Ovis aries: one gene and its partner. The protein of the gene in region 1 purifies or fractionates together with the protein of each later gene. This does not show direct contact. Links are inferred from orthologs where the notes say so. Each region holds a gene or a part of one and is shown on either strand. Other genes may lie near its edges.

Region 1 (13,994 bases):
GGCGCCTATGCGCCATCGAGGCCGAGCTCCACCTTCCCGGGCCCCCAGCCCGGGCACGTAGGGTGGCCGTGGAAAGGCACTGGGCATGACAGAGCACCAGCTAAGCCAGCCCCACCCGATGCTTTGCTCCGGGGCAGCTTGCTCCAGACCCTTCACCACCCTTTCAGAACCTTCCATGGAGCCCCCACCCCTTCTACCCTGGTTCATAGGCTGGTCTTGATTTACTAGCTGAGGAGACCCACCAGGGACAGGCTGTAGGCTGGCCCCATGCCCGGGGGAGAGACACCTGCCTCCCAGCAAACCTGATGGACCCCAAACCACCTAAGGCAGGCTGAGCATTCCCAGAGCCACTGGGGACAGTCTCCCTGACCCCTGAGGGCTCCAGCCAGGTCACACCCAGCTGGCTTGGACAGCCAGGGATAGAGGCCGTCAGCTGCCCAGGGCTCAGGAGCCGACTTCCGAGGGCGTATCCACTAGATCGGTGGATGCAGGGCTGGGCCTGCCCCCCCCAGTGGTCTGAGGGACTGCATCAGACCCTGGAGAGTTGCTTGTAGGGGCACTGTCCTGGGGGCCCCGTAGGAGCCCCCCACTGGGGCTCAGGGGGCTGCCTGGCCGCTGGTCCAGGAGAGAGGCGCTCAGGCCAGACAGGAAGGAGGCATCTGTGATGATGGCAGCTGTCTCTGCCATCCAACCCAGGTCACCACTGGCTGCTGCAGCCACTGAGGCCGCTGCGGCCACCAGGGAGCTAGGTGCCTCAGCCACGGGCCCGGGGCCCCCACCAGCACCTGGCAAGCCAGGGCCCAGGGCAGGGGACTGGCTGGCAGCGTCGGGGGTGATAGGTGGGATGCCTCCATTATTGTTCAGGTCATCTGGCAGGGCCGTGGGGGTTCCGGGGCCCAGTGGTGGTGTCTGCAGCAGCATCTCCTGGACACGGATCTGCTGCAGGATGGCGGGTAGTTCGTAGTGGTGGAAGAAGTAGATCATGGAATGCTGGGGGGGCAGGCACCGTGTCAGGCGAGGGACCCCCAACAGGCTGGACCCTCGGGCCACCAGTCGCAAGGAATGCCCACCTCACCTGGATGAAGAGCCAGGAGGTGACGAGTGCCAGGCTGCTGTACTGCCCATTGAAGCGATAGTGGTAGGCGTAGAAGGCAAAGTGGTACAGGTAGAAGAACCTGCAAGGGGAACAGTGAGGTGCTGCCCACCCAGCTGCCTCCACCCCAGACCACACGGCCCCCGGTGCCCACCGAAGCCAGTGCCGCTTGCTGGTGTTGGTGTGGCAGCAGATGGCATCATACTGGTCAGCCAGCCACACGATGAGGATGATGTAGAAGGCTGTGGTGGTGTCGTTGAAGAACTCAGACATGATTGCCTCCATTCCTGGTGGGGGGAGACAGGAGCCCCCAGTTGAGGTGGGTGGCCAGCATGCCAGGGAAGGGGGCAGGGTGTGGGGGCACAGGGTCCTCACCCACGAGGGCCAGGATGACGGTCAGCAGGGGCGCTGCGGGGAAGGCGATGGCCATGTTCATCTCCAGCATCTGCAGCAGGTCCACTGCGGGAGAGGGCACCGGGCGGGCAGACCGGGTGAGGCGCCCGGAAGGGGGGAGGGGCAGGGGAGGTGGCCAGAGGGGATACTCACCAATGAAGACGAAGATCTGGTGGTGAGAGTAGCGCAGCAACATGGACACACTCAGGGTCTGCAAGTGGGCCACCATGAGGCCTTGGATGGCTGCCCTGCTCCTCCAGCCCCACCCTGCCCCTCCCCACCCTGCTTGAGGCACTCACAAAGATGACCATGATGACGAAGGCAGCCAGGTAGGACGTGCGGGCCATCCACATGCTCACAAAGCGGTAGTGCTCCCCAGACACCACATTCCTCAGGAAGCCTGCATGAGGGGTGGAGCGGAAGAGGCAGTGAGCAAGCGCCCCAGCCCAAGCCCCACCTAAGCAGGCCCCGCCTTCGCCCCGCACCTTTGTTCTCCTCATTCTCTGCCAGGCCCTTCACGCTGGACATGAGGATGTCATCATAGCCCAGGAACTCGGCCAGCAGCAGGCGGCTGAAACGGTCACCAAAGCACTGGTCCCGCGTGGGATCTGTGGGCAGGACCGGGACAGCGATGTTAGTCCAGGGACACAGAACTCCACTGCCCGGCAGAGCTGTGACTGACACGTGTGGAGGAATGGAGCCCTGGGAAGTTTCCTGCAATTGGGCAGCAAGGGCAACCCTGAGACCTTGGACACAAGTGCTTCCGGGTCACCCCTCCCTGAGGAAGATACCCAAGATTGAGGAGGAAGGAGGTCCCTCCCCTGGGCCTTGCTCTGCTCGGCAGGGGCACTCACCCAGTGTGACCACCATGACGGGGATGCTGAGCCGCTGGCGTGTGGCCTGTGACAACCTCAGGAAGCCGTACTCCAGCGAGTACTCCACGATGTACTCGTCTTGCGGCCAGGCTGCATGCAGGGACAGCTGGTCAGTAAAGGAGCCCTCTCCTGGGAGGTCTGGGGGGACTGTACCACACCCCCACCTCCATCACTGGACGTAGCCCCAGGGAGTGGTGGTACCTTTTGGGGGCGTCTCAGGGAATGGGAACTCCTGGCTGTCATTTAAGGCCTCGGGGCCACCTGGTGGCTTGAACACCTTGGGCTCGATGTCCAGCTCAAACTGCACAGTGGGAAGCAGAGGTCAGCAGGCCCTTGGTACCTAAGGCTTGGCCTGAAGGTCTCTACCCGCCTCCAATGGAAGGAGATGTACCCCGACCCATGAAAGCCCTAACTCCAACACTGAGCTCCGAGATTTCTGGGTGAGGGTCTGAGGGACAGGATCAGCGACATGGGGCCTCCTGCTGGTCTGTACCAGCGCTCCACCCACACCCACCTCTGGCCACCTGAGCACAGCCCTCCCTCTAGGCTTCCCATCCTGTGGGCAGCCACAGCACCAAGGATAGCCAGAACCACCTCAGGGCTCTGAGCCCAAAGCCTGCTTCTCAGCCTGTCTGCCCTCAGCACCCTAGAACCAGGCCTTCAGTAAACAGCTGGGAAACGGCCCAGCAGGTCAGGAGTGTCCCCTGCAGCCCTAACCACGTCCCGGCTGCTCACCTTGATGGAGCTGTTCCCGAACATGTCCATGGTCAGCTCCTCCTCCTCGTCCTCCTCTAGCTCCAGGCCATCTGGCTCCACGGCCAGGCCGGGGAAGCTGCCATGGCCACCATCGCAGAACTGCAGGAAGACGGGCGCGCGGCTCGAGTTGTGCTGCACCTCTACCCGCAGGATGCCCTCACGGGGCCACTTGTCACGCACGTGCTCCAGGCAGTTGATAGGTGATCGGGAGAAGACGATGTGGATGTAGGCCAGAACAAAGAGCACGAACAGGGCCTGCAGGGCAGGGAGCGGTCAGCGGGGAGCTGCCTGGGACCCGCCCCCCGAAATGAGGACCCTTCCTAGTACAGGCCTCCACAGCTGTAGAGCCTCTCACAGGCCAGCCTGCACCGAGGCCAGAGATGTGGCCACAGGCTCAGTGTCTCTGGGAATCCCAAGCACCTCTCCACAACGTGTATGGGGACCTGTGAGCTGACGACGGGAGTCAGGAAAGCGTGGGGCCTACGGTGGCAGCAGGCTGCAGTCAGAGCTGACCCATAGCCCCAGCTGTGTTCTCTGGGCCCCAGTGTCCAGCAGGAGCCATGTCCAGGACACCATTCATCCTCGGCCATGAGGACAACACTGCACCACATGCAGAGACGTCACAGAAAGTGCTGACATGCAGGTGGCACGATGCCAGGGGCTGCCTGAGCTCGTCTCTGCAAGGCACATGCCTGCCATCATCTCCAGTTTGCAGACAGGAAACCAAGGCACAGGCCACACAGCCAGGAGGGGGTGGAGCCAGGAGTTAAACCTGGAGGAAACACCAGGCAGGGTAGCTAGGTTCTGAGAGGGGCATATGGATAGATGGGGTACCCGTGACCTCAGAGTGGCCAAGTCCCCACTGTCACCCTGGAGTCCCTTCCAGCGCCCCTCACAGCCCCCCCTACCATGAACTGAAACCCCAGGTACGGTCCATCACCCTGACCAGCTGGGTGGGTGCCTAGAGACAGGCCAAGACTCTCGCCCCACTGGACAAGGCCTGCCCCTGAGCTGGACCTGGTTCCCCACAGCCTCCCTGGAACAAGCTGGCAAACAGCGGCCTCCTAAGACCCTATCGGCAGACACAGCCGGCGGCCCCGCCCACCAGGCGGCCCCGCCCCCTTATCCCTCTCAGCATTTCAGGAATCCATCCAAGGCCTTTTCTGTCCTCTGCCTGGCAGCTGGCCTGGCCATATCACAGGCCCTGGGTACTCTAGCCCCCAACCTCTGGTACCCCGTGACTGAACACTCCACCTCACTGGCCACGCTGTCCCACCAGCTCCAGGACCTTTGCACACGCCATCCCTGCACCCACCTCCTTCCTCCCAGCCTGAGGTCATCTGCTCTGACTTGGACCCTGCCCTGGTAGCTGCTGCCTCTTCCCCATTCCTCCCGGTCAGTCACTCATCTCTGGTCCCAAAGACTGGCACAAGGTGGCAGGGGGCACGTGGTGGCAGGGAGCAAGGGAGGGGGGGAACCAGTTCTGCAGGTGGGAGCAGAACAGGTGCCATAGGAAGAGGCGACCAAGTGAGGTGGGGAGGGAAACTTGATCTCCAACAAGAGTCCAGAAGCTAGGCAGCTGGAAAGCAAAGAAGGGAGCTTTCTGGAACTCAGGCAGCCTCACAGATTGACTAGCTCAGCCTTCACTTTGCAAAGGAGGGAAACCAAAAGCACCAGGGGTCAGGGAGGGACCTGAGAATTGAGGGGGGCCTTCTGGCCGCAGCGCCATGGAGAGAAAAGATGTAGGGAGCTAAGGGTGGCCTGATTCCACGGGCCCCCACACCAGGGGCACAGCCTGGATGTGCAGCCTGTCTGTGCAGCTGGCCCAATCCCTGACTTGCTCCTTGGTCCCAATTGGGAAGCAAGCAGAAAGACAAAGCCAAGGCCTCAGGCTGGACTCTCAGGAAGGCTGAGCTCCGTGGGGGCCCACCTCACACAGGGCACTCACTCCCTCTGGTGACACGGGCTCCTCCTGAGGGTGCAGGTAGGCCAGGACTTTCTTCCAGGAGGCAACCACGCCCACACCCGGCCTTCTGCCCACTCTCAAGCTGCTCATGGCTCCCACGCACCAGGTAAGGGAAGCCCTACTGAGGAACACTCCAGAGTCCAGGCCCCCGGGGAGGACACCTGCTGCCGCTCAGGACCTGAGAGGCTCAGTGGGGACCCACTCCCAGGTCTGTAGGACAGCCCTGCACACGCCCCTGCTACCCAACCCCAAGAGCTGAGGGCTCCCAACCTCGCTGGCCCGTCCCCACCTGCTTCAGACCCCTTTCTGTGGACAAGGAATTCAAGCTCCCTCCTAAGTCGGCAACCATGGTCCCAGCCCCCACCCAGGGGGCCCCCCAGGACAGGACAGGACACAAACAAGAACAGCCATTTCTCCATTTCCTCAGACCCGCCAGACAGCCGGGGTCCGGCACCCAGCGGCTCCCTCCCTGATTAAGACCCCTCCTTGGAGGGACCCGCGCCGGCCCTCCAGGAACCGCCGAACCGCCCGCACAGCCAAGGGAGGACGAGGGGCGGGTCCGCGAGACGCCCCTCACCGAGCCACCAGCGGCACCGCTGGCTGGGGCTCTGCCAGAAACGCTGGTGACGTGACCTCGGCCTGGTCACCTTCCCCCAGAAGGGGTAGAATCTGAGTTGGAGCAGAAGAGCTCCAGGAGGCCAGCCCCAAGAAAAAGGGGGAGAGAAAAGTGGGGCGCAGCTTCCGGTGCAGGTGGGCGGTCCGGGGGTGTGTCCAAAGAGGCGGCAGTGGCGTTGGGCCCGGAATCCCCGGGTATGCGGTTCGCGGCGAGATCAGGCTCAGTAGTGGGGACGGGGTCATCCCGGGATGAAGATCCCAGGCGACAGGGTCGAGGGTCGCGGGACTGGGCTATGGTCTCCCGAGGTGGGGACGCGGGGAAAGGCGAGGCCAGCGGTGGGGTGCGGCCTGGAGGGGCTCGGAGTGAGTTCCTGGAATCGGGATCAGGGGGCCACTAACTCGGGGAGGTTAGGGCCTTGCCGGGTGGAAGTTTCTGGGAAGGGTGGCGGGGGTGGCAGGCTTAAGGAAAGGGTCACAACCGGCCCCGCCGGGTCTATGCCTCTGTCCCGGGCGGAGTCAGAGGTCGAAACTCAGGGGTAGGGGGGGTCCATCCGCTAGGGTTAAGGGTTGGGGCTGCGGTCACCTTGAGCAACACGAAAAACTCGAAGAGTCGACGGAAGGCGGGCGGGAAGAGGCGCGAGTAGGTGACAGCCATCTTGAAGAAGAGCGCGTGGAAAAGCCGGTCGCGCACGTTGATGAGAGGATTGGGGTTGAGGTTGGGGGTGCGAGGCCCGCGCGCGGGGGCCGGGCCGCCGCCGCCGCCGCCACCACCACCGCCACCACCGCCGTTGGGCCCAGGCCCCGGGGCCCCGGGTGCCGCGTGCTCCGACATGCCGCCCAGCGTAGCACCCTAACGGCCCGCGGCTCCCCGAGGACGCCTCCTGGCCGCCATCGGCAGGCTTCGCCGCCGCCGCGCTGCTTACAGCCGCCCGGCCGCCGCCGCCATCTTCCGCCTCCGCACCCCAGCTGACGCCAGCGAGTCGCCGCGAAGGCTAGAGCGGCCTCCTTGCGCTGGCGGTGCACGCTGGGAAGCCGGCGGTCGGCCCGCGGTTGCTCCGCCTTCTGGAGTCTCAGCCGGCTCGCGAGCGCCGAGGGGCGGGGCTGCGTCTGGCCCGGGTCTTTCGCCTATTGCCCCTACTAGCCTCCACCGCTGCAACTCGAGCGTCAAAATTAGTCAATATCTGAAGCGTTTAGAAGTGATAAAATATACTGAAAGGAAATACGACTGTTGGAGCTGTTTTCTACTTTGGACTCTAGAAAACTATACTGAAAATAGGCTCACAGTAGAGTGTTCTGGCTGAAAAATGATTTGATTTGCGGTCTTTAAATTACGTCCCCAGAAAACCTGTGTGGAATTCTTTAGGCCGGGGCCGCTGTTCCCCTAAGCAGACTAACCTGATGCGCCGTGACGTCATAAAGGCCCGTGACGTTGCAGGGTCTAGCTTAAGTACCACCTCCCCATTCTGAAGATCAGCCCTGGGATTTCTTTGGAAGGAATGATGCTAAAGCTGAAACTCCAGTACTTTGGCCACCTCATGCGAAGAGTTGACTCATTGGAAAAGACTCTGATGCTGCGAGGGATTGGGGGCAGGAGGAGAAGGGGACGACAGAGGATGAGATGGCTCGATGGCATCACTGACTCGATGGACGTGAGTCTGAGTGAACCCCGGGAGTTGGTGATGCACACACAGGGAGGCCTGGCGTGCGGCGATTCATGGGGTCGCAAAGAGTCAGACACCACTGAGCGACTGAACTAAACTGAACCCCCATCTCGCGGAGGTCGGTGACTGGAAGAACTAACGGACCTCTCTCCCTCTGTCTGCACTTGGTGGCGGTCCGGGGGATTTTAGGGGTCCAGAAGAGGCTAAGTGAACTGCTTTTGCCCAACCTTCCAGCCTTCGGTCCGTTCCCGACTTTTGGTTGTTCATTCGCTCAGTCGTGTTTGACTCTGCGACCTCATGGACTGCAGCACGCCAGGCTTCCCTCTCCTTCACAATCTCCAGAAATTTGCCCAAACTCGTGTCCACTGAGTCGGTGATGCCATCCAACCGTCTCATCCTGACTAGGTTTTCCTTTTGAGAACGCGGGCCGCTCAGCACCACCCATCTCTCTCCGGCTCTTAGGGCGCCAGACCCGCCGTTCCAGTCTTTCCAGGACGGCTGAGCGGACAGCCCTTTGTCAACTAAAGCGGGATCGCAGATGGTCTATACCTGACCATGCCCTCCTTGTTGACTGCCACCAGTTGCCCACTTGAGATGTCCCAGACCTGGGAGCCCACATATGGACTACAGACATGCTCATTCATTCATCTTTGAAAAGCCTGAGCACCTCCTAGCAGCCATGGTAGTAACAGAATCCAACATTCACTAAGCACCTACTGTATGCCAAGTACAGTACTTCCACCCTGTGCTCCAAAGCAAGAATGGGTGGGCTGCAGCAGGGAGCATCGAAGGGCAGGAGGAGCCAGAGGCTGGGTGTGGGAGAGGACACCTGAGTACAGACGTTGGGGAAGGACACCCAGGGAACAATAAGAAGGGACAGTCAGGGCCTCTGAGAAACCAGGGTGTGAGGTAGGCATGGCGGGGAAGAGACTTTTCAGCTGTTCTAGAGCCTCAGAGAACTTTCCAGACCTACCCGCCTGGCTTCATAATCCGGTGAGCCCCACTTCCTTGAGGTGGACAGGAAGCTAAGGTCATCCCATCTGTTCCTCTTTCATAGAGAATGCCCTGTATGGGAGCCTAGCATACAGTGGCTGCTCAACCAATGCACATTTTTGATATTGTTACAGGTCACCCCCAGATCATTTACTGGTCACAAAAGGAGAACACAAGCTCCTCTTTTATAATGGTGAGGCCAGTCGATGTACCCTTGATCTGGGGAGAAAACCCAGCCACTCAGTGGGGGTGAGTGGGGGTGCTGTGGGTCCCTGAAATGTGCAGCGAGGTCTAATGAGTTAGCCATATGTGACTCCTAAGTTCTGGAAATGTGGTCAGTGCAGCTGAGGAATGGGATTTTAAACTTTATTTTCATTGAGGTAATTTGTATTGAAGTAGGGCCGTGTGGCAAGTGACTTCTGTACAGGCAATCCCCATCTAGCACTTACTTCCACGTTAGAGAGACACTCGACCCAGGGGAGCAAATGAAAGTTACTGTCACAAAAAAGGAAAATGGAGGGAAACAGTTCTAAATCTAATACAAAGATACGGAGAAGGGCCAGGCTCCGCACTTCTGGGGACAGTCGGCGATTTTATTTTACTTTATTTTATTCTTTTTTAATTGGAGGATAACTGTTTTACAACGTGGTGGTGGCTTCTGCTTTTTTTGGTTTGGGTTCATCTTCTGTTGGGGACTTCAGGAGATGGCTGGATCTCACAGAACACTGTGAGTGTCAGTTGGGACCTGTCTGGGATGTGTGAGTGGCACTGGGGCTGGGAGCCCTGGTTACGGCTTACTGAGAAGGTTCTAGAAGGCAGACAGTGAACAAGCCAGGTGGAAGCTCTGAGGCAAGCCTGTGGCTGATTATTGGAGGCAGAGCGAGGAGAAGCCCCATGCCTCTGGAACACAATGAGCTAGGGAGACCTGGGGACCTGGAGGACACCTTTGTTGAGGGGTGATAGGGAGCCTGGCGGATTGTGGGCAGGGAGATGCTGACCTGAGTTAGCAGGCTTGTCATTTTACTGTGACTATCATTGTTTTCTTGTTACTGCATCATTTGGCACATAGGATCCCCGGGGTCTTATGCAAAGCCCAGAAGGCCCTCACCGCACCTGCAGCCCCTGTGCCCACCCACCCAGACCCTGGGGCCCAGCACCCAAGGCTGAGGCTCCAGGGTTTCCTACAACTCCAAGTCCTCCAGCCGTGGCCCCCTTCCCAGAGTACCTGAATCTGTCCTCAGTGAGTCTGCATCACTCCACAGCCCTCCTTACCCCCACAGTGTCCCCAGGGTCAGTCCTGGATGGAGAGATGGGCGCCAGCGTTCAAGGCTGTAGGGCAACTGCAGAGGCCCCAGGCCTCTTGGCCAGGTTCCGAGGCTGAGCCAAAATTCCTGAGATTTTGACATGCCCTTATCTCAGCTGACCGGGAATTTGAACCCAGGTGGGGCCCACTGAGGTTGTAAGATTACACAGAACCACATAGTTCTGTAAGCCTCAGGTCCTGGGGGAGTTTCTCAAATTATAATATTCTAAGCTTTTGGAACCTCAGGGTTTTGAATTCTCAGATATCTGATCTGAATTTCTGGGTTTCAGGAGGCTAAGAATATAGTGTGTTCTCAGTCATTCAGTTGTGTCTGACTCCTTGCTATCCCATGGGCTATAGCCCACAAGGCTGGCTCCAGCCTCCTTCCCACTACTACCAGCCCCCACAGTGCCCTGGTCCTGCTCCCTGTGGAATCTGCAAGGAGTCCACCAGTACAGCCCCCACCCAAACAACTCCCCACCTAGACACTGAGAAACCACCCTGTTCCCATACTCAGCCGCACTGTCTGGTTGACCACTGGTCCCTATTTCACAGATAATGAAACTGAGATCCAGATGGGAAGGGACTCACCCAAGATCACCCAGCTAGGACTCGAGCCCTGAAGAAAGGAGCCTTCACATAGAATAGGAGATGCATAGTCAGGGAAAGAGTCAATAGACATCGAGAAAGTGGGGTACTGGGGAGGGGTGTTCCTGGGAAGGGCAGGGTGAGTAATCTCTAAGCCCTCACAGATCACTTGTCAAATATTTCAAACTCCTACTTATGCTTCAAAACCCCACTTCCCATGCCCTCTCTTACATGCCTCTTTCCTTTACCCCTTCAGGGGAGCACCCACTCCCTCCTGGGGTTCCTCCACCCCAGACACCTCTCTCTGTCCTGTACCTGCTGACATGGGGCGGGAGTGTCTATGCCAGGGTCTGTTTTCTCAGGGATGGGCAGGGCCAGAGCCAGGAGGGAGCCAGTATAGCCTAGCAAGGGATTGGCCCAGTGGCCCCGTCATTGAGCTTTTGATGAAGAAGTAAATAGTTGTGCGAATGAATGTTACTGAAAAAGTGAAATTTATCCCTTTATTAATTTATTGATTTATCTGTACAAGCAGGCAGCATGTATTGAGTGCCAAGTGTGTGCCTGGCTTAGTTCCCTTGGCGTCCTCAACTCTACCCCCAAGATATCTCCTGATTTCAACTCTCTGCTGTTCCATCTCCTCCCCATTCCCACCATTCCCCAACCCAGAATCTAGGGTCTCCTCTCATCCCCCACTTCCCCAACCTATCTGATTGATCTCTGCACACTTTCAACCACTGATGGTCCCTCCAAGTCTTGGCACTTTTTGTTCTGCCAGGACAAACAATACCCTTTGGACTGGCAAACTCCTACTCTTCCATCAAAGTCCCAGCGCCAGTGGCCCCCTCCGCTGAAGAGCCTGTCCTAGTTCCCTTGCCTACCACCCAGCTAGGAGGGTTTCCAGAAGCGGACCTAGACTGGGAGGCGCCTCTAAGCATCAGATGAGGGTCCCTCTTCCCCGCATTAGTGTCCAAAGGGAATTAGGGTCTCATTCAACCATTTTCCCCCTCCCATCATTATGTAGAAAGGTTAGTTGAGGCCCAGAAAGCATGGGGAGAGGCCCCCGGGGGCTCCCAGCATTGAGTAGGAGAGGGTGCCAGGTCTCCGTGGTGCGGGGACCCGTCCCTCCCGGCCTCAGTCTCCCGGGGGTTCCGAGGGGGCGGGGCGGGGGTCGGGCGGTTCAGGGGCTCAGGAAGCCCGAGGCCTCAGGAATCCGGCGCGGCGCAGCCATATAAGGACATGTGCGCCCCGCGCCAATCAGCGGTGGGGGCGGGGCCCTGGGTCCGCGTCCCCTGTCCGCTCGCCCGCCAGCCCGGCCGTCGGTCCGTCCGTCCCGTCCCGCGGCGCCGCTCCCGCCAGCCATGAGCTCCACGCAGTTCAACAAGGGGCCTTCGTACGGGCTCTCGGCCGAGGTCAAGAACCGGGTGAGTGAGGGGAGCGCCCTCTCTGCCAGCCCAGCCCGTCACACCCTCCGCGGTTGCAGAACGGGCGCCCCGCTGGCCTCCCTGGGCATCGGGGGCGGCCCTCCTCCCCCGAAGTTCCGAGGGTGCCTCCGATGCTTCCTAAACTCTGGGGAAACAGTGAGGTCTGTGCTCTGGCACCCCACCCCCCAACATCTAGGAGCGGTTGGGTCCAACCCCTTACCCAGCCCTGCTCCCTCAGCCTCTACTCATCTGAAGCCCTCTGCCCACCGCTCTGAACCCCCCAGCCCTGGGCCCCTCTAGCGCTTCAAGGCCTGAGAAGGTCCTGAGGGAACCCCAGCGGCCCCTTTTCATCCCCTCCCCCACTTCTGCTTTTGGACCACTTAAAGCTTCGGGGAAGGAAGGGGGCGGGCCAGGTGTTTTTGAGAAGGGTGTGGCCCCCCAAAAGAATTTACCGACTTCTTACACCTGGGAGGTGGGGCACTGGGTGGGTGAGGGGAGTTGGAATCGAGAGGGCCTACCTTCCCCATTCTCTTTATCACCATCTGACACACTTAAAGAAATAGCGAAGAGGTCCACCAGTCCCCTGAATGTGACCCTAGCATGTGGGTTTTGTAACTTGAAAATGCGGGCTAGGGCGTGGGGGGGTGGGGCACACTTCTTTTTCAGAAAGTGCTTTTGGTTCCAGCCCAAGAGGGCAGAGACTTCTGCAAGGTAACACAGCAGGTTCAGCGCATCCAAGGAAACAGGAGCATAGAATGATCTCTGCCCAGGAGGGCAGGGGGAGAGGTCCTAAGCCCAACACACAAGGGTTTTCCAGCTTGAGGGGAGTTTGTCATCTTTGTCCACCCCCTAGGCACACACTGTCACCAGGCACCTGGGAATGTGGCCCCAGGGAGGAGCCTGCCTGGGCACACTGGGGACACAGCCCTGCTGGCCCCCAGGTCACTACTAGGTCAAGAGACCAGAGGGAGAATTTACACATCTCAACTCTGTGAGCTACTAGGAACCTCCCTCCAGCCCATTTGGGAAGCCCAGGGTCCGAGCATGGTCACCTGGCAAGCTCCCCATCGATTCTCCCTTGAACACACAATTCCACACTCCAGCAGTAATGCCTTGGTGGGTGCAGAGTGTTGATAGTCCCCACCCAGCCAAGACCCTCTAAGATTCCTCCTTAGCACATGGGGTTCAGAGACATCGCTCAGACGGCCCAGACCCACCTAGCAGATCAGAGGCAGGGTCAGGACTCGAACCCAGACCTGGCATAGGTAGTGTCCGATGGCCAGCAGTCCTCCTGGGCAGCCAGGCATCTCCCCCGAAGCAGCAGGAAGTGGGTTGAGGGCACAGCACCCCAGCGGGGTGGGGGCAGCTTCCTGCGATGGAGTGGGATGGAGGCAGGTCGTTACCTGCCCTGTGGAGGATGAGGTCAGAAGCTCCTTGTAACCAGCCCTCAGTCTGCAGGCCTGGAGAATGGGCGGGGCCCCCACCCCCACACCGGAGTCACCTCAGGGACCCACCTGAATTGGAAACCAGCTTCCTGTGGTTTCTAGACCGTCCACTTTGAGAGGAGGAAGACCCCCTGCCCCCTACCCCAGGCTTCAGTCCCACTGCTGGATGGCATACAGGCAGGCTGAGGTCCAGTGCATACCCTTGAGATCTCTGGCTGACTGGGGGGTCTGGACCGCTGGGAACAGCTGGTCCTGATTTAGCAGGGAGGCAGCGGCTGCATTCCTGGCAGTTTGCGGTGGGGAGGAATGCGCTGAAGGCCAGCTGGGCAGCAGGGTGGAAGGCGGCCTAGCGGGTGGGGCCCCGCCAGGCACCCCTGCGTGGGACCCTCCCTGGCCCCAGCCCCAGTGAGCTGTCGAGGATGAGGATGGGGCCCAGCTGGGCAGGCAGGCCAGAGGTCCAGACCAGCCTGCCTGCTTCAAGTTCAGTGATCCTAATAACCCCCCCTCCTCCCCCACCACCCTTCTGCTGGGCGTGGGAACCAGAGACAGGAGAGGGAGGAGATCCGAGGAGGGAGTGGGCTAAACAGATCAGGTTCACAGGCCAGCCTCCCGCCTTTGTCTCCCCTGTACTCTGAGCAGCTCAAGCCTGATCCCATGTCTAGGGGTTTATATGCAGGAAGCAGGAAGTGGAGCCCAGGTCTGGAAAGCCTTAGGAAGACCATTCAAACATAGCTGGGAAGACAGAGGCATGAGGTGAAACCTGTTCATGGTCATTGAGGTGGGAGCTGCAAGGGCAACTCTGAGTCCTTGTCCCTAGGGGGTGTGGAGGAGAGTGCGCGGTGGGCACAGGGTGAGTAGAGGTGAAGAGGGGTCTGGGGTTGGGGC
Region 2 (15,799 bases), on another chromosome or scaffold:
GTGGGAGCTAGGCCTGCTGGGGTGTCTGAGGGCCACTAGGAGAGGAGCTTGGGAAGCTGAGGCAATCCCACCTTGCTATTGAGCTGGGCTTCCTGAACCACCAGGAAGTGGGCAATGGCTTCCAGAAGCTGGGGCTCCCTCAACCGGTGGCGGGCCAAGTGCTGCGCTAGGAGCACCATCACGTGGGGAGTCAGTTCCTCAGGCCTGGCCTCTGTGAAGAACAGCTTATCACGCTGGACCCTCAGGCCAGACCTGGGTGAGATTCCAGCAGATACTGCCTGCCTCCACCCCCCCATCACCTGTCCCCCGCTCTGACACCTGCCAGGCTGCGGATGAGGTGCTGCTGAGGACGCCGCTGGAAACGGGGACAGCTTAGAGCGGCTTCCAACCTTTGCCCACCTCGAAGGATAGGCGGCAGAGGGGGCGGTGGCTTCGGAGGGAGGCGGAACCTTCGCTCCTGCTCCAGGGCGCACATCAGGGGCCCATCTGATGGGAAGCCTGAGAGGCAGAGGGTCAAAGGAGGCAGGGAAGGAGCTGCTCTGCTCTGCAATCCTGCAGTTTTAGTTAGTGAATCCTCAGTCCTTCTCATCTCTGTTTTCTGGGCTGGAAGATCTGCTACAGAGCACGCGGAAACACCAGAGAAATAGGAACTACCACGTGAATAAAGGTATCACAACCGTCTGTGGGAAAGGCCTTATACAAAGAAGGCAGTAAGATCTCATCTCTTGCCAATGATGATCAATTGCAGTGGCTCCCTAGGGCACTGTATTAGAAGAGAACTGGTGGCTCAGTGGTAAAGAATCTGCCTGGCAATGCACAGGTTCGATCCCTGGGTCTGGAAGATCCCCTAGAGAAGGAAATGGCAACCCACTCCAGTATTGGGTTGAGGACTTGGTGGGTTATGGTTCATTGGATCGCAGAAGAGCCAGACACGACTTAGCGACTAAACAACAAAAAAGGGGGTGGCACCCTAACCTAAGCTGCAACTCATGCTGCTTGACTCGTGATGACTATCGTGGATACCGCAGAGGAGCAGCAAGTGTGGCATCACTCAGCAAGTGTGCCATTCCTGGCAAAGCTTGAGGTGGGTTCTGTCAGTGATCTCAGGTGGGTCTGCTACAGTTTCTCTATCCTTCCATTGACACCCACCCACCCATAGACACCGTCCTCACCCAGTAAGGCTGCAAGGTGCAGACACACGTGGATGGTGTGAATGTCAAAGGAGGGGCAGTTTCGGATGATGAGCTGACTCAAGTCCTGCAGTGTGGCCTGCTCCACAGGAGGGGGCTGCGGCAGAGACCCCAAGAGCTGGCTCAGACGACGAAGCGCCACAGGGTAGTGGTGGGCACGCACTTTGGTGGGGTTCTGCCCCAGCCAGCGTAGCAGCTCCCCAGGGCTCCTCGCCTGTTCCAGAAGCCGCTGCAATCCCTGCACAGGGCCTGCATGGGGGCCTCCTCCAGGAGGCCGGTGGTCTCCCCATTTGTTGGGTCCCAGACAGCAAGGCTGTACTGGTGGGAGCAGCAGCAAGCCAGACAGACGAGCACTGGAGGCCTGGGCAGAGAGCAGGACTCGAAGCATGGAGTTGGGTGCTGGAGACCCTGAGGGGTGGCCCAAAAAAGGGAGTGAGGTATTCTCCAAAGGGGAGAAAGACCAACTCTCTGTTCCTCACCTCGCTCCCCATCCAGAGGAGTCTGGGGACAGAGCAACCCGTATTCTCTTCACCCTTCTTTGTGACTGCTCTGGTCCTCTTCCCCAACCCGCCCCTCTCTGACTCCTTCCAACCTTTGCGAGAGCAATCGGAATCCTTCAGAGTTCTCGCGGAGGATTTTTTACAGAGCAATTCCACATGCATCATCTCCTCCGATCCTCCTCTGACACGCCCGTGAGGAGGCAGGCAGGGGCTGGTACTATCTCGATTTCACAGGTGGAGAGACCAAGGCCCAGGGAGGCGAGGGGGTTAAGGCAAGCCCCGAGGTCCCGAATCTGGTTAGTGGTCGCGCCCAGCCTGGAACCCAGCTCGCCGGACAGATACGCTCCCCCCCACCCCCGACCACCTCCCCCTCCCGCAGGAGGCGGCGGCGGTACCGGAGGGTGGAGCGCGGGCTCCGTGGTCCTGGGTTCCATGCTGGGCGCTCCCACTTACCAGCTGCGTGACCTTGGACAAGTGGCTTCGGTCTCCCTGCCCAAGCCTTCTCGCCTGTGAAACGAGAACGCAGGGCCACCTCGGAGGGCGCCCGTGGAGCCCGCGGGCGCGGCCTGCGCTACGGCGCGGAGTCGGCGGTGTCAGGGGGGCCCCCACACACACCCCCACCCGCGGCCCGGGGGGAATGCCAGGAGACCGTGGTCGCGGTCGCCAACACCAACTCCCGCCGCCCTTCCCCGCGGCCCGCCCCGCAGGCGCCACCCCTACATGACTCCCCAGGCCCCGCGCAGGTCGCTCCCTCGGTCGGTCTCGGGGCCCGGGAGCCGGGCTCCCCCCGCGGCCTCCTCATCAGGGGGCCACCGAGTCCTCCATCTTCCCGGCAGCCCCCGAACAGCGCGGCCCGGACGCCAATCGCCGCGCCAAGTAGGTCCTCCGCCAGCAAAGACGTGGCTCCCGGCAGGCCCCGCGCGCCAGGGCGCCGCGCGCCCCGCCCCCTGCTTCCGGGAAGCTGCGCGCGCGCGGCGCCGGGCTGGGGCGGGACCAAAGGCCTGGGGCGGGGTAGGGGCGGGGTAGGGGCGGGGCCAAAGGGCTGGGGGATGAGATTGGGGTGCAGAGGGGAGTGAGCAGCGGTTGGCCTGGGCGGGCAGGGCAGGGTAGGGCGAAGCATCTGGCCCACCCCTTTTCTCCCAGTAGGGCAGAGCTCCCCGTAGCCCCCCTCCTCCACGACCCACACACGCAGACACTAGGCCAAGAGTGAAAACGTCACAGTTATTTAATCTGCACGTGTTCCAGAAAGCCCCCTCCACCCATCCCGACTCCCCTTCTCCAGCCCTTCCCAGTCCTCGGGCCCCCAAACCAGCCAAGGAGCGATCCGGGACTAAGAGGTGCCCAGGTCCTCAGGCTGAGCCCTTAAGGGCCCAGGGGCGTGGCCCCGCTCTGTCCAGGGCCAAGGCAACTACAGCAGCTGTCTGACTTGGGGTAGCCCACTGTCAGGGGGCGCTGAGGGCCAGCTGCCCCGGGAGGTGGCCCAGAGCCATGAAGGTCACAGGGAGGGGCTTCCGCCGCCCCTCGGAGTGCTCTGCCGCGCAGCGCTGGGCTCCAGGGTAGTGGGAAGAGGCAGGTCGGAGAGGCGGGCCTGGGCAGACAGCAGCTCCCACCTTGTCGTGGCGAGCAAGGTCCCGAGAGGCCGGTGGCGTGGCCAAGAGCCCGTGGAGGCACTACGGGCGGTACATGGCAAAGGCCAGGAGGCTGAGGAGCAGGGTGAAGCCGGCCAGACCCAGAGTGGCGGTCAGGGGAAAGAAGGGCCGGTACTGGATCTGGCAGTACCATAGCAGAAGCAGCAGCAGGAGGAGCAGGGGCAGCAGCAGGCTGCCTACTTCCAGCCCTGAGGGGCCTGGCTCGGACCCCGGTGGGCAGGGCGGGAGGGGGGGACCCACCCGTGTGGACACGTGGCAGTGGAGGACACAGTTGGGAGGGAGGTGAAGGCTGCCCAGGGTCTGGGTGTCGTCTCCTAGTAGCTGCCCTTGGTAGATGAGTCGCACGTGCTGTTCCCGGCCGGGAAACTGGGTCCTGAGGAGAGAGGGACCTGGGTAATAGAGCGAGTCTCAGGCACTCCTGGCCCCTGGTCCGGAACAACTCTCCTACCCTCACCTCTGGCCTCCACGGTGTGTGTGTGTGGGGCCCTTCTGCTTCAGGGGAGCAATACAGTGTGTGACTAGGGGCCTCAGTTTCCTCATCTATAAGAGGATCTCCGGGATCTCTGCTGGTCCTTCTAGGACTGTGATCATCCCCGCCCTACTCTTTAGCACTTCCTTCCTGTCATCCTCCCGGCTTACCTTTTCAGGGAGCCAATGGTGTCGTGGGGCCAGGCTCTGGCCACCTGCTCAGAATCGTTGAGGAATTTCAGCCGAAGTACGAGGGGCTCCTGGGGGGAGTCCGGAGGTGGCGGCGTTGCTGCGAGCCCCACTCCGGGTTCTGGTGGTGCCACCTGACCTCGGTGTCTCAGGCCGGGGGTCTCAGCTCCTGGGGCCTCCCCTCTGATGCTGTCCATGACCGCCATGGCTTCGCTGGGCTGCGTTGGTGTTGGGGTCCCTGACGGCTGGGGCAGTGGATCGGCGCCCTCGGCAGTGTGCGTTGAGACCCAGGCGAGAGCCAGCACCAGAAGGCAGGCAAGCACCGAGAAAAGGATGGTCACCTCATCACCTACCCCTTCGATCAGGGCCATGGCACCTGCCTTGCCTGCCACGCTACCGGGCTGGAGAGGCACAAAGAACCCATGAGGGGCTGACTCACCCACCAAGAGCCCTCTGAACTTCAGGGGGCCCCTGACCCCATCCAACCACAACTCTCCCACAGTCCTCATTCCGCCCAGTTATCCCAGCCCTACCCTGGGACATACACTGCTCTGACACCTGGCCACCCCAAACTTGCCCTACATACCCCTTCCCAACACCAAATCACAAGTCCTAATTTTCTGTAACCTAAATTTCAGGTCTTTAAGCAGTTCCACAATTCACCCAAACCCTATTCCGAAGTCAGAGCTTTGACTTTCTAAGCAACCTCTCCCTTAAATTCAGCCCCTACCAAACCACCCCAAAGCTTACCTATTCTCCCCATTTAGGTCATCTCAAAGTTTATCTACTCCTTTGCCTATTTCACGGCAAAGCCTATCTATTAATACTGCTCCATCGCTAAAGTTTCTCCAAGGGGGTAGAAAAAAGGTCTCTACGCACACGCACAACGCCCCCTTACCATTCAGCCAACCCCCACCCGCAGCACAGGACAGCTTCCCAAGGCTTCCCCACGCCAAATGTCAAACTGCTTCCCTTTGGCAAACTGGAACCTCCGAGGGTTCCCACCCACAACCCTAACCCCTACCCCAACTCGGCCCCCCTGGTCCACTCAAACCCCACCCAAGGCGTCCCGACCCCGCGCCTCCCCTGGGAAACCTCTCCAAACCCAGCCTGCTGCAAGACCCCGGATCTCGCCCGGGAACCCAAGACTTTGCCCTCCCCACCTCCATCCTCCACCACCCTTCGCATCTTCCCGCCGCCCGCCCCCACACCCCGAGTGGCTGGCGGGCGCGGGAGATCCCGGGGCGGGGCCAGCCGGGCCAGCTGCTAGGGCAGCGGGGTGATGCGGCCACGGCGCAGGGACTCACCGCCAGGCTCCGCCAGCTCCATAGCGGACCCTCGGGCACTTCCGGGAGGGAGGTGGCGAGGTCGCAGACACCTGGAGGCACCCCCTCCTTCCCCGCCGCCGCCGCCCGGAGCATTGTGGGTCTTGTAGTCTGGAAGGATGCGCAGTCCAGCGTTCTGCGCTGCGGACCCACGTGCGGAGTTCAGCCGCCTGCGCCGAGCCCCCGCAGATCGCTGAGGGGCTGGCGGCGGCGGCTTTGAGGTTGTGCTCGCCCGCAGAGGTTCGGGGCGAAGTAGGGGACAGCAGGATCCTCTCCCTCACCCGCGGGCAGCCAGGATGTGTATCACATCAGAAACCAACGTCAGCTGGTTTCTGGCTAAGTCTGTCATATCACCCCCCCGCCCCACCCGGGGTTTGATGATGCAGTCTTTGGGGAGCGCAGGTGGACCCTACGCCGGCCTACTCTTAAGTCAGAGTGGACCCTCCACGTTGACTCTTCAGCCCAGAGCCCAGTATCCACGGGCTGCCCGCTCCCCTCCCTGCCCCCAAGGCTGGCTGAGGAGATGGGTCTTCAGGGCTGGCCATGGGAGGCTTCAGTTCAGTTCAGTCGCTCAGTCGTATCCGACTCTGCGACCCCATGGACTGCAGCACACCAGGTCTCCCTGTCCATCACCAACTCCCGGAGTTTACCCACTCATGTCCATTGAGTCGGTGATGCCATCCAGCCATCTCATCCTCTGGGGGGCTTGGGGCTGCCTTATTTACCTGGCTCCTCATCCACTGGGCTCCTGTAAGACTGTGAGGAGCATAGACTTTGGAACATGGCAAAAAATTCTGACCCATTATCCTGTGCTTATCAACTATATGACCTTGAGTGCATTATTGAATCTATATGAACCTAAATTTCTTCGTTCTTAAAACTTACCTCAGAAGACAATTGTAATGGGCGAAGTTTGGTGTTTTATTAAAGAAGTGTGAAAACTGTAGAGGGGATCTGTCACACAGTAGATATTTATTCACTTAGAACGCTTCCTCCCCTGAAATTTGGGCTCAGAAATTGGATCCTTAAGAGTATTGTTGTACAGGCGATGTTGAGCCTCATGTGGCCTGAGCCAAGTTAATTTCTATAGGTTTTCCCTCCTTCCTTTGGGCTCCTATAGCCACAAACTTTATAGGTCAGTCTTGATTAAAAGTAATGTACCCTGGTGCCCTGATAGCCTATGCCTACTTATGGGAGCAAACACTCCAGATGTTGCCTTGGGACTGTCAGTTTAGACTTACAACGTACAGAACTATTAATAACTTATCTCTAGTTCCTTCCCATTTATCCAGTTATTCTAGAAGTATTCATTAAATGTATAGCATGTGCTGGGCGCTGGTTCAGACTCTGGGAATACAATGGCGAATCAGACTGTATCCCTGCCCTCATGTAGCTAATGTACTAATAGAGGACACAGACAATTGGCCCACTAGTGCTAAAACAGGCATGTGCCAACTGCTGGGGCAACACTTTTGAGGGGCTCTTTACCTTCAGCATCTCTCCTGGGAGGTACCTACTGCAACTTCTTGCTTTCAGTTCTAATTAAGCATCTAAAATACATGTTGGGTACTGCTTTTAGACTTACAGAATATTAGGCTAGGTGATCTGTTCAACCACTAATTTTTTTTTCAGATGAAACCCAAAGAGGGTGAAAGACATTCTTCAGAACAAGCAGGTAGGTAGGACCCACACCTCTCTGGAGCTTGGGAAGCCCCAAGGTGTTGATTAGCTTGCACTAGGTTCTTTGGAAGGTCCAAGATACTTAGAAAGGTGACCAGGTTGGTACTGGGGTCAAGTGGTGTGGGTAGCTTAAATGGTGGGCCACTTTACGCTGGGAAAATACCCAGCTTGGGTATTTTGGAAGTGGAAGTGTATGTAAAAAGGATAGTATCTGTCAACTGTGCCAGAGGACATGGGGGTAGAGTCCTGGCAGGCTGATTGGCCGGGACCTGGGTTCTGCACAAGCCACCTCTTATGGAGTTTAGGAAAAGCCGGGGGGAAAGGGGTGGCTAGTGAATCTGCATTCAGCTTTAGCAATGAGGATGCAGAGGAACTAGGACATTGAAGGGGGCTTCCTGGCCCTGGGAGTGGACAGGAACACAGGATGGACAAAGGAGAGAAAACAAGGAAAACTGAGGCCACCATGTGGACCCTGGTGAGTGTCTTAAATGGGGTGAGTGGGGGAAGAAGGCATAATATTTGATTATTTTCTTCCTTCCCCTTTCCAGGGAGGTCCAGCAGCACTCACTGAATCCTACACCAGTCCGGCAGTGGGGATCTTTTAGGAGAGGCTGGAAGATAAGAGCGAGGACATTGTTGTTTCAAGTGTCATTTTCAAGGGCCCCACAGATGAAGGTCTCAGGAAGAACTGGAAATAGAAACCAGGGACCCAGATTCCCAGCCTCGGTGCCCGCAGCCGGCAATGGAAAGTCCAGGGAGGGCCTGAGAAAGAACCCTGAGTTGGCGTGGTCTCTAGCGGTGACCTCGGGGCCCAGGGACAGGGGAGCCTTTGCCGCACGGATGGCAGGACAGTGTAGGCGAGGCGCAATTGTGTCCGGGGCGGCGACCCTCCTCGGCCCACCAGCCGCGTTCATCAGCATCCCGGCACTGCCTGGAGAACAGACACTCCACCCAGACCAGCGCAGGGGGGCGAAAGCGACAGCTGGGGCCGCGAGGCGGGCAGGGCAGCTGTCCCCTCCAAGCGAGTGGCCCTCGCAGCGGGTGTGGTGGGGGCTGGAAAGGAGGCGGAAGGGCCCAGGCTGGGTGGGAGGGGCCGGCCGCCGGGGCCGAGCGCGCGCCTCGGGGGTGGAGGCTGCTTCTCCAGCCAGCTAGAGAGGGGCGGGGGCGTTGGGGCCCGCGCGCTGGAGGGGCGGGGGCGGCGGGGAGGGGGGCTCGGGCTGCGTGTGCCGGAGCCGGCGGGGGCGGTGGTGCGTGCGCATGACGCGGCGGGGAGGGCCCGGGCCGCGCGCTCCCGGTCCCGTTGTTGTTGCCGCTGGAGGCGGCTTCCAGGCAGCGGGATCGCGGCGCCGGGGAGCGCCCGGCAGCAGCGGCCCCAGCGTGCGCGGCGGCGCCTCCTGGCCTCTGCCCCCAGCCCTCGGCCCCATGCACTAGCCTCGCGCCGCCCGCTCCGTAGTCCGGGCCCCGCCAGCCCCGCGCGCCCGCCCGCCGCCGCCGCCGCCGCAGCGCCGCCCCGGGCCCCGGCCGGGCCCGCCTCGGGCCCCGCGGCTCCGGAGCCATGAACTTCCAGGCGGGCGGGGGACAGAGCCCGCAGCAGCAGCCGAGCCTGGCGGCGCCGGGAGGCAGCGGCGGCGGCGGCGCGGGGGGCGGCGGGCAGTTCGGCGGCGCAGGGCCGGGGGCCGGGGGCGGCGGCGGCCCCTCGCAGCAGCTGGCCGGCGGGCCCCCCCAGCAGTTCGCGCTCTCCAACTCGGCGGCTATCCGGGCCGAGATCCAGCGCTTCGAGTCCGTGCATCCCAATATCTACGCCATCTACGACCTGATCGAGCGCATCGAGGACCTGGCGCTGCAGAATCAGATCCGGGAGCACGTCATCTCCATCGAGGGTGAGCGGAGCCGGGGGCTGCGGGAGCCGGGGCGCGGTGGCCTCTCCGGCCCCGGCCGGGGGCTTCGCCGGCCTGTTCTGGCCACGCTTTCCCGGTCTGGGGGGTCCTTGCGCGCCTGAGGTCGGGGCCACGCGGTTTGCCGATCGCTGGCGCTGCAGAGCCGGCGGCCAGGCTTCGCCATTTCTCGTCTGGCGACACTTTGGGGCTGGGGGGCAGGTCCCGTGCCGGGGGACACGTTTTCTGATCTGCGGGCTCCAGGCTGTGAGGGTGGCGTCGCTGCGGGGACGGGTGCGCTGGGAGCCGCGGAGGTTCCGGGGCCCTGGGGCCCGGTCTGGTCGGGCATGGCCCAGGAGGGTGGGCGCGGCGGAGGGCCTCGGCGGGCCAGGAGGTGGGGCAGCTGCCGGAGAGGCGTCTCAGCTGCCGCCCCGGCCCTGCCCGCCTCGCAGCGGTGAATCGGAGCCTGCCGTTAGTGGATGGCAGCATTCCCGGGCCCGGCGCCCGCGGGCCCCGGAGGGTGGCGCTCCACGAGGCCCTCTCTGCCTACGCAGACCCCGCACGCCGCGGCGGCCGGGAGCGGGGCAGGCCTGGCGCGGGGCTGGGTCACCGGGGGCCGCGTGAGAGGCCTCTGCCGGGCCAGTGTCGCCTTCGCTGGGTCCAACGCGCGCCGGACACCCGCCGCTGCTCTCCAGGGAGCGGCTCCAGAGGCGAGCTGGGGGCTCCTGGGCGCTGACCGACCTCCAGGGACTCGGGTGCCAGGCGTCGGAAACTGGAACCGTGGGCCACTTAGTTACCCAGCGCTCCTTTCTCCAGGCTCTCAGGCCTGCACTTGGCAGCTGAGGGGCAGAGGAAGTGGGGGCACGCTGCTGGCAGATGTGCCAGGACCCCTGGTGTAGTGGGGACAGACAGCATCGGCAGCACCCCGCACTTCGGCGGCATGGTGACCTTTGAGCGCCCGTGGGGCAGATGGACCTGGGCCTGGGCCATCTGCTTCCTCCTCCTGCTCCTTTCCCTTTGAATGCGGTCGCCCCCCAGCAGGTGGTGGGTTCAGAAATGCCGGGAAAGGGCAGGGCCTTTTGCTGAGGACCTGGAGTTGATGGGAAGGGGCCTGTCCACTACTGGGGTCTCACAGGAAGGCCCCACTGGCGTCTTTCTTTGTGTGAGGCTCTTGGGGTGGAGTGTCCTTCCCCTGAAAAACCCCTGTCTGCTTTTAGGGGTCCCCATGGCTGAGGAAGGAGTCGTTGGCTTTTTTTGGAGGGGGGTAGGGGACCTCGTTTAGAGCTGGAGTTCCGCTCTGTTCTCGACATGGTCCCCTCTGACTTCTTGCTGTCCCTTGCCCAGCCCTTGCTCATCCCTCTCCAGGCTGAGTTCACTGTGAACTAATTAGGTGACAGGAAAAAAAAAAAAAAAAACCTCATTAGCTTGGATCTGAGTAAATGGCCTGAATCATCGGTGTGGCTGGGGACCAGGAGGTGGCATATGTGTGAGCCAGGGGCCCCCGAAAGAGAGGAGATGACCAATTTTTCCTCCCCAGTCTGAAGAGGAGAGCCGCCATTCCCTGTGGCTTCCCGCTTTCCCCCAGAGGAAGTAAGTTCCATCAGTGCCCAGATGCCTCCCTCACCCACCCCCCGCCCCCCACAGACCCTTTTGGAGGGGGAAGAGGCTTGGTGGGACAGCCATGGGGGGGGTGTGGAGGAAGGCAGGCTGAGCGGGGAGAGGCAGGGTCTCGGCTGGACACCACCTCTAACTTCCGATTCCTTAAGAGCAATCACCCACACCCCCTCCCCAGCTCAGGAGGTCTCTGGCCAAGCATCTTCTGTGATGTGCAAGCCAGCATTCTTGGGCCACACTTGGGTGTTCACCCCCGTCCTGAATCCAACACGACAGGCAGAATTTCCCCCTCTAGCGCCCACCCCCGTGACCAACTTCCCCACTGCGGTTTGGAAGTACCCTGCGTTCCGTCTACCACGCCTGGAAGCTCCGTGTCACCATCTCGGATTCTGGGACCTGGTGTCTCATTGTCACCAGGCCCAGCTGCTCCTCACACATCCGCTCGCAGCTCTCCTAGTCTCTACTTCCCTGCTTTTTCTTGGCGAGGCCACCTCCCTCTTTCCTCCGTCCCCCCCCCCTTTTTTTTGGCCAACCTCTCTCCTGGAACCCATCTTGATTCTCCACCTCACCCCTGCTTTCCCACTTCTGTCGCCCTAGCTTTTCCACTGTAGGCAGGCATCAAAAAGAAAAAAAAAAAGCCCAGAAAACTCCTTCTCCGATTTCTGCCCTATATCCTTCCTTTCGCCATCTGCCAAACCATATTGCTGCTGTCCTGCAAACAGCATCCCTGCCTCCCCAGCGGAGGGTGGGGTGGGGGGCAGCTTCACAGGCGGGGCGTTTCCCTGCTCACCCTAGGAGCCTGACGAGCTCCCCCCTCAACCCTCTGCCAGGGCCCCCGCAGACCTGGGTCGAGAGGCTGTTACATAAACACATCCATCACCAGGGAGGCCGATCCTATGTTTGCTAGACGTGAGCCTCTTAGTGGCGAGGGATGACATTTCCCTCGTGTGGAGTAAGCCTCACTCGGTGGTGCTTTGGTGAAGGGCATTCATCCTAACCCTGGAGGTGACCGGCGAGGTGTGGTCAGGGGTCCCTTTGGGACTGAGAAGGCTCAGTGGCACCCTGTCCTCCTGCCCTCTCTCAGCCCCTCTGAACCCTGTGGCCAGAGCAGGAAGAAGCAGAGGAACTCTGAGCTTTCCTGTGTTTCAGGACAGGATCTGGAGGGAGGGAGTTCCTTTTCCCTCCAAGGGCAAGGAAAGAGAGAACCTGTCCACTGTTAGGCCTTACGGAATGTATGAGGGTATCATCAAGAGCCAGGATGGAGGGGGAGACAGCTCACCGCCTGAGGAGTCTCTGAGCCACCCTCGCCGCCCTGGTTGGGGCATTGAGGCTCGGAGGAGTAAGGGACGTGATGGTGTGCCCCGTGTCCTAGAAAGAGGGCCTCAGAGGATCCAGGTCCAGATGGGGACAACCTAGGCACGTGGGACCCAGGTGTGCTGGGCCATGTGAGCTGGGAGCTGGGATGAGCTGTTGGGAAAGGCCGCCCTTGGGGTCCCCGCGGGTGGCCTGGAAAGGCAGGCTTGTCCCTGAGTAGCCCTGAACTCAGAGAGGTCTGCCCCGGGGTGACACACAGCCAGGAATCAGACCGTGGTCCTGGGCAGCTTTTCGTCAACTGGTTAACTTGTTCCTATGGCCCTTGGTGTTCCTGCAAGTTTTTTTTTTTTTTTTTGAGATGTTTTAACTTAGTTTAGTTTAAAAGCATGTTTTATCAATGTAACTTGTCTACAGTGTGCAAAAAAGGGCTCATCGCTCAGTCATGTCCGACCCTTGGTGACCCCATGGACTGTTGCCTGCCAGGCTCCTCTGCCCATGGGATTCTCCAGGCCAGAATACTGGAGTAGGTGGCCATTCCCTTCTCCAGGGGATCTTCCCGACCCAGGGATGGAGTGCGGGTCTCCTGCCTTGGAGGCAGATTCTTTACCATCTGAGCCACCTAAGGAAACCCCTATTGTAAAATAAAACTTCAGGAAAGTGAAGCCTCCAGCTGGTGAGCTGGGACACAGGAGTGTGGTCCTGCTGGAGAGCTGGCTTGGGGAGTGGCCCCCAGGATTGCCCCAGTCCTCAAGCTGCGAGGCCACCATGAAGAGGGAGAGAGTGAGGAGCCTGGCCTCTGCTGGGTCCAGGCCTGCCTTCTTCCAGGGGCTTTTAAGCAGTGAAATTCCTTGGTCGGGGCAGCACATGGCTGTCCTGTTACTCACTGAGGCATTGTCTGCCTACCTCCATGGGCTCTGGGCTTGGTAACATTCTAAAGGGACTCAGATAGAAAGAGGTGCGGGTGTTCCTGGTTCAAATCCAGGCTAAGGTGAGAAGGTGGCCCGGAACTGTGGGCAGGGCGGTCAGAGCCTCTGCAGCTGCAGGTCTCCCCAGAGCTGTAGATTCTGTCCCTTGTTTCCTCTCCTGTGACCAGATCCCAGCAAGAGCCCTGTGATGTGGAGAGAAGCATTGGGTCCATTCTGGAGACAGAAAAGCTCTGTCCTGAGCTGATTCCCTTCTCCTGCTCCTGGGGATAGGCATTCCCCAACCTGCTGATAACACGAGCCCGCGGGGCTTGCTGCCTTCAAGAGATCTCACTTGGTGGGTTTGGGATGGGGGCCCAGGGTGTGTAACATCCCCAGGGCCATTGTGGTAATTAGCTGCTTTGGGGAATGCATGCCTCTTGGGGGACCGGTTATTGAGGACTTTGCACTAAAGAGCTCTAGGAATTCTCAAAAAGAGGATATTGGTGTGGGTGCCAGGGGCCAGGGAAAGCTGCATCTGTTCCAGATACGTGTATTAGCTCCTGCAATGTGGCCCAGTTGCATCTAGCACTGCGGAGAGCAGGAGGGGAGGGCGGGGCAGAGCCAGCACTCTGGACACTGAAGGTGAATGGATCAGCCCTTAGCAGGTCCCAGAGCGGGGCCTGGGAGTGGCAAGAGTAAAGCCCAAGTTTTAAGAAAAGCAGGGCGAAGATGAGAGGCTGGGAAAGGCTTGTCAAGACCCCAAGCCTGCAGGAACTCGGTGGGGGGGAGCCTGGAGATGCCCCCCCACCCCCAACCATTTAGTCCTCCTTCACTGCGTTCCAGCTCTCTGCCAGATTTGCAAGACAGTCCGTGTTCCTAAACATACCCATGGCTGGCATGTACCGTAGCTTGCTTCTGCCATTTATTTATGCATTTATTTGTTTTTGGCTGTACCAAACATGTGAGACTTTGGTTCCTTCACCAGGGATCGAACCCACGCCGCCTGCAGTGGAAGCTGGAGTCTTAACCACTGGACTGCCAGGGAAGTCCCTACCATTTACTTCTTTAATTGAATGTGTGTGCCAGGCACGGGGTCTGGGAGATGCTCCGTGCAGGGGGAGCAGGTGTGCAAAGGTAGCAAGGGATGGGGCTCAAGGAGCCGCAGGCTGGTCTGCGTGCCTGAGCACTGAGTCCACAGGGGAAGGACCCTGGTGCAGGAGTTTTGAACGTTTTATCCTGTATAAATTCATTTACAGCTCACCTTGTTCCAGGAATCCACTCAAGGTGGCACGTAAGCCTGCAGGAGATGGGCAGTCACTGGAGGGTTGAAGCAGGAGCTGTCTGGTTGAAGCAGGCAGGTGTTATCTGAAAGCAGGTTGGGACTTCCCTGGTGTCTCCGATGGTAAAGAATCTGCCTGCAATGCTGGAGACCTGGGTTCAATCCCTGGGTTGGGAAGATGCCCTGGAGAGGGAAATGTCCACCCACTCCAGTATTCTTGCCTGGAGAAGCCCCATGGACAGAAAAAGAGGCCACAAAAGAGTCGAGCATGACCGAGCGATTAACTCTTTCCCTCCTCACTCGCATTTGAGAATGAACTCTCCATTTGGTGCCGGCTGGAGCAGAGGGCACAGGGCCACAGGGAAACCAGGCGGGAGAATTGGATGAATGAGCTCTTAGTGTCCATGCCGTGCATTTGGCCATGAGCCCTTCCGCGCCGCTGTCAGCGGGCCTCTGATCTCAGAACCTCAGAAATGGAGGGAGGAAGGAGACCCTAGCCTGGGGGAGCTGAGGCTGAAGGGGGCCGACCCAGGGCCCTGTGAACCTAGGGGCCTGTTCAGCGTTGCCTGAACACCTACCCAGGACCCTTTGGCTTGCCCCCATTCTCTGCAGGTAACTCGATTAAACAGAGAATAGGGGTTTTGTTGAAGCAGTTGCATTCTTCCTGTCATCTAGCCAGCTTCCGCCACACAGGCCAAGGGCACGGGGCAGCTGGTTTGGCCCAGGGAGCTAAGCTCTGGGGTTATGGAAGTGGGAAGGAGAGGTGACCCGAATCACCTGCTTTGAGGTGTGGACCTTGGGCTATGTGGTGTCCCACCAGTGAATATTCCTCGCCTGCCTGCTGGAGATTGTCATTAGGCCTCTGCCCTTGCAGTCTTCTCGGGTATGTGCATATCATTCCCATTTTGCAAATGAGATCGCCTAGGACCTAGAAGGTGTCCCTGATGGCTCAGAGGGTAAAGTGTCTGCCTGCAATGTGGGAGACCCCAGGTTCAATCCCTGTGTCCGGAAGATCCCCTGGAGAAGGAAATGGCAACCCACTCCAGTATTCTTGTCTGATGAATCCCATGGATGGAGGAGCCTGGTAGCCTACAGGTACAGTCCAAGTCACATCCCCAAGACCGCCCAGGGACTCTGCCTGGTTTTCCAGTTCCAGGCCTAGGGCTCTTCCTCTCACATGGATGGACTGATTGAGCTCTGCTGGGCCAGGCTGACATACAGTCAGCTGTGCTGGGTACTTCTCAGGCAAGCTTTTGACCTGGAGTTTCACTTTTGGAAGCTTTTGAGTACAACTTAAGGGCTATTCAGAGCTCTTCTCTCCTGCTATAGTTTTCTTCTGGATGTCTTGTATGCCCGGATGAATGATGCCTTTTGGAGGGGGGCTCTCCCTTCTGGGAGCAGCATGGATACTGCACGTGGTAGAAAAGATGCTCAGTCAGGAAACACTCCAAAATATTTGAACATCTAAAAAATATAAATATATGTTTAAACGGGGAAAATAACGCCTGCTTGTTAGAACACATTCCAGTGTGATAGGAAGTAGAAACACCCCACCCCTCCCGAGGGCACCTGCTGTCTGTCTGATGGGTATCTCCGATCTGCCTCCCTCCCGTATCTATCTACTATATCTAATTACTCCACGATCAATGATATTATTGCCATTTCATAGCAGAAGTGGGACTCTGGAAAATACTCCACCGGGGAGAAGGGAAACCAGAGCCGCAGATTCATGAAAGGCCTCTGTGTTCAAGCACCCGTCTGGCAGCTCCCCGTTGGGGAATCCAGAGACCTGGGATCTTCTTCCTATTCTGC

Evidence for each region.
Region 2: the proteins of TMEM259 (region 1) and TMUB1 purify together in Homo sapiens (affinity purification with mass spectrometry; 3 studies listed by BioGRID, with this or other methods). This does not show direct contact. The link is inferred for Ovis aries from reciprocal best matches to the Homo sapiens genes TMEM259 and TMUB1.

Annotation. Positions count from the first base shown.
Region 1 is NC_056058.1:41,199,860-41,213,853, forward strand, and holds the start of TMEM259 (membralin), read right to left. Parts: upstream 6,667-13,994; 5' UTR 6,531-6,666; coding exon 6,282-6,530; intron 3,373-6,281; coding exon 3,097-3,372; intron 2,663-3,096; coding exon 2,563-2,662; intron 2,452-2,562; coding exon 2,341-2,451; intron 2,095-2,340; coding exon 1,972-2,094; intron 1,887-1,971; coding exon 1,786-1,886; intron 1,698-1,785; coding exon 1,640-1,697; intron 1,553-1,639; coding exon 1,469-1,552; intron 1,381-1,468; coding exon 1,248-1,380; intron 1,176-1,247; coding exon 1,076-1,175; intron 991-1,075; coding exon 445-990; 3' UTR 1-444. Other genes in the region: CNN2 (calponin-2), read left to right, coding at 11,602-11,664. UniProt on the Homo sapiens protein: May have a role in the ERAD pathway required for clearance of misfolded proteins in the endoplasmic reticulum (ER). Promotes survival of motor neurons, probably by protecting against ER stress.
Region 2 is NC_056057.1:115,271,269-115,287,067, forward strand, and holds TMUB1 (transmembrane and ubiquitin-like domain-containing protein 1), read right to left. Parts: upstream 5,347-15,799; 5' UTR 4,506-5,346; coding exon 3,979-4,505; intron 3,713-3,978; coding exon 3,361-3,712; 3' UTR 2,898-3,360; downstream 1-2,897. Other genes in the region: FASTK (fas-activated serine/threonine kinase), read right to left, coding at 72-211, 319-498, 1,173-1,598, 2,144-2,197, 2,411-2,492. UniProt on the Homo sapiens protein: Involved in sterol-regulated ubiquitination and degradation of HMG-CoA reductase HMGCR. Involved in positive regulation of AMPA-selective glutamate receptor GRIA2 recycling to the cell surface.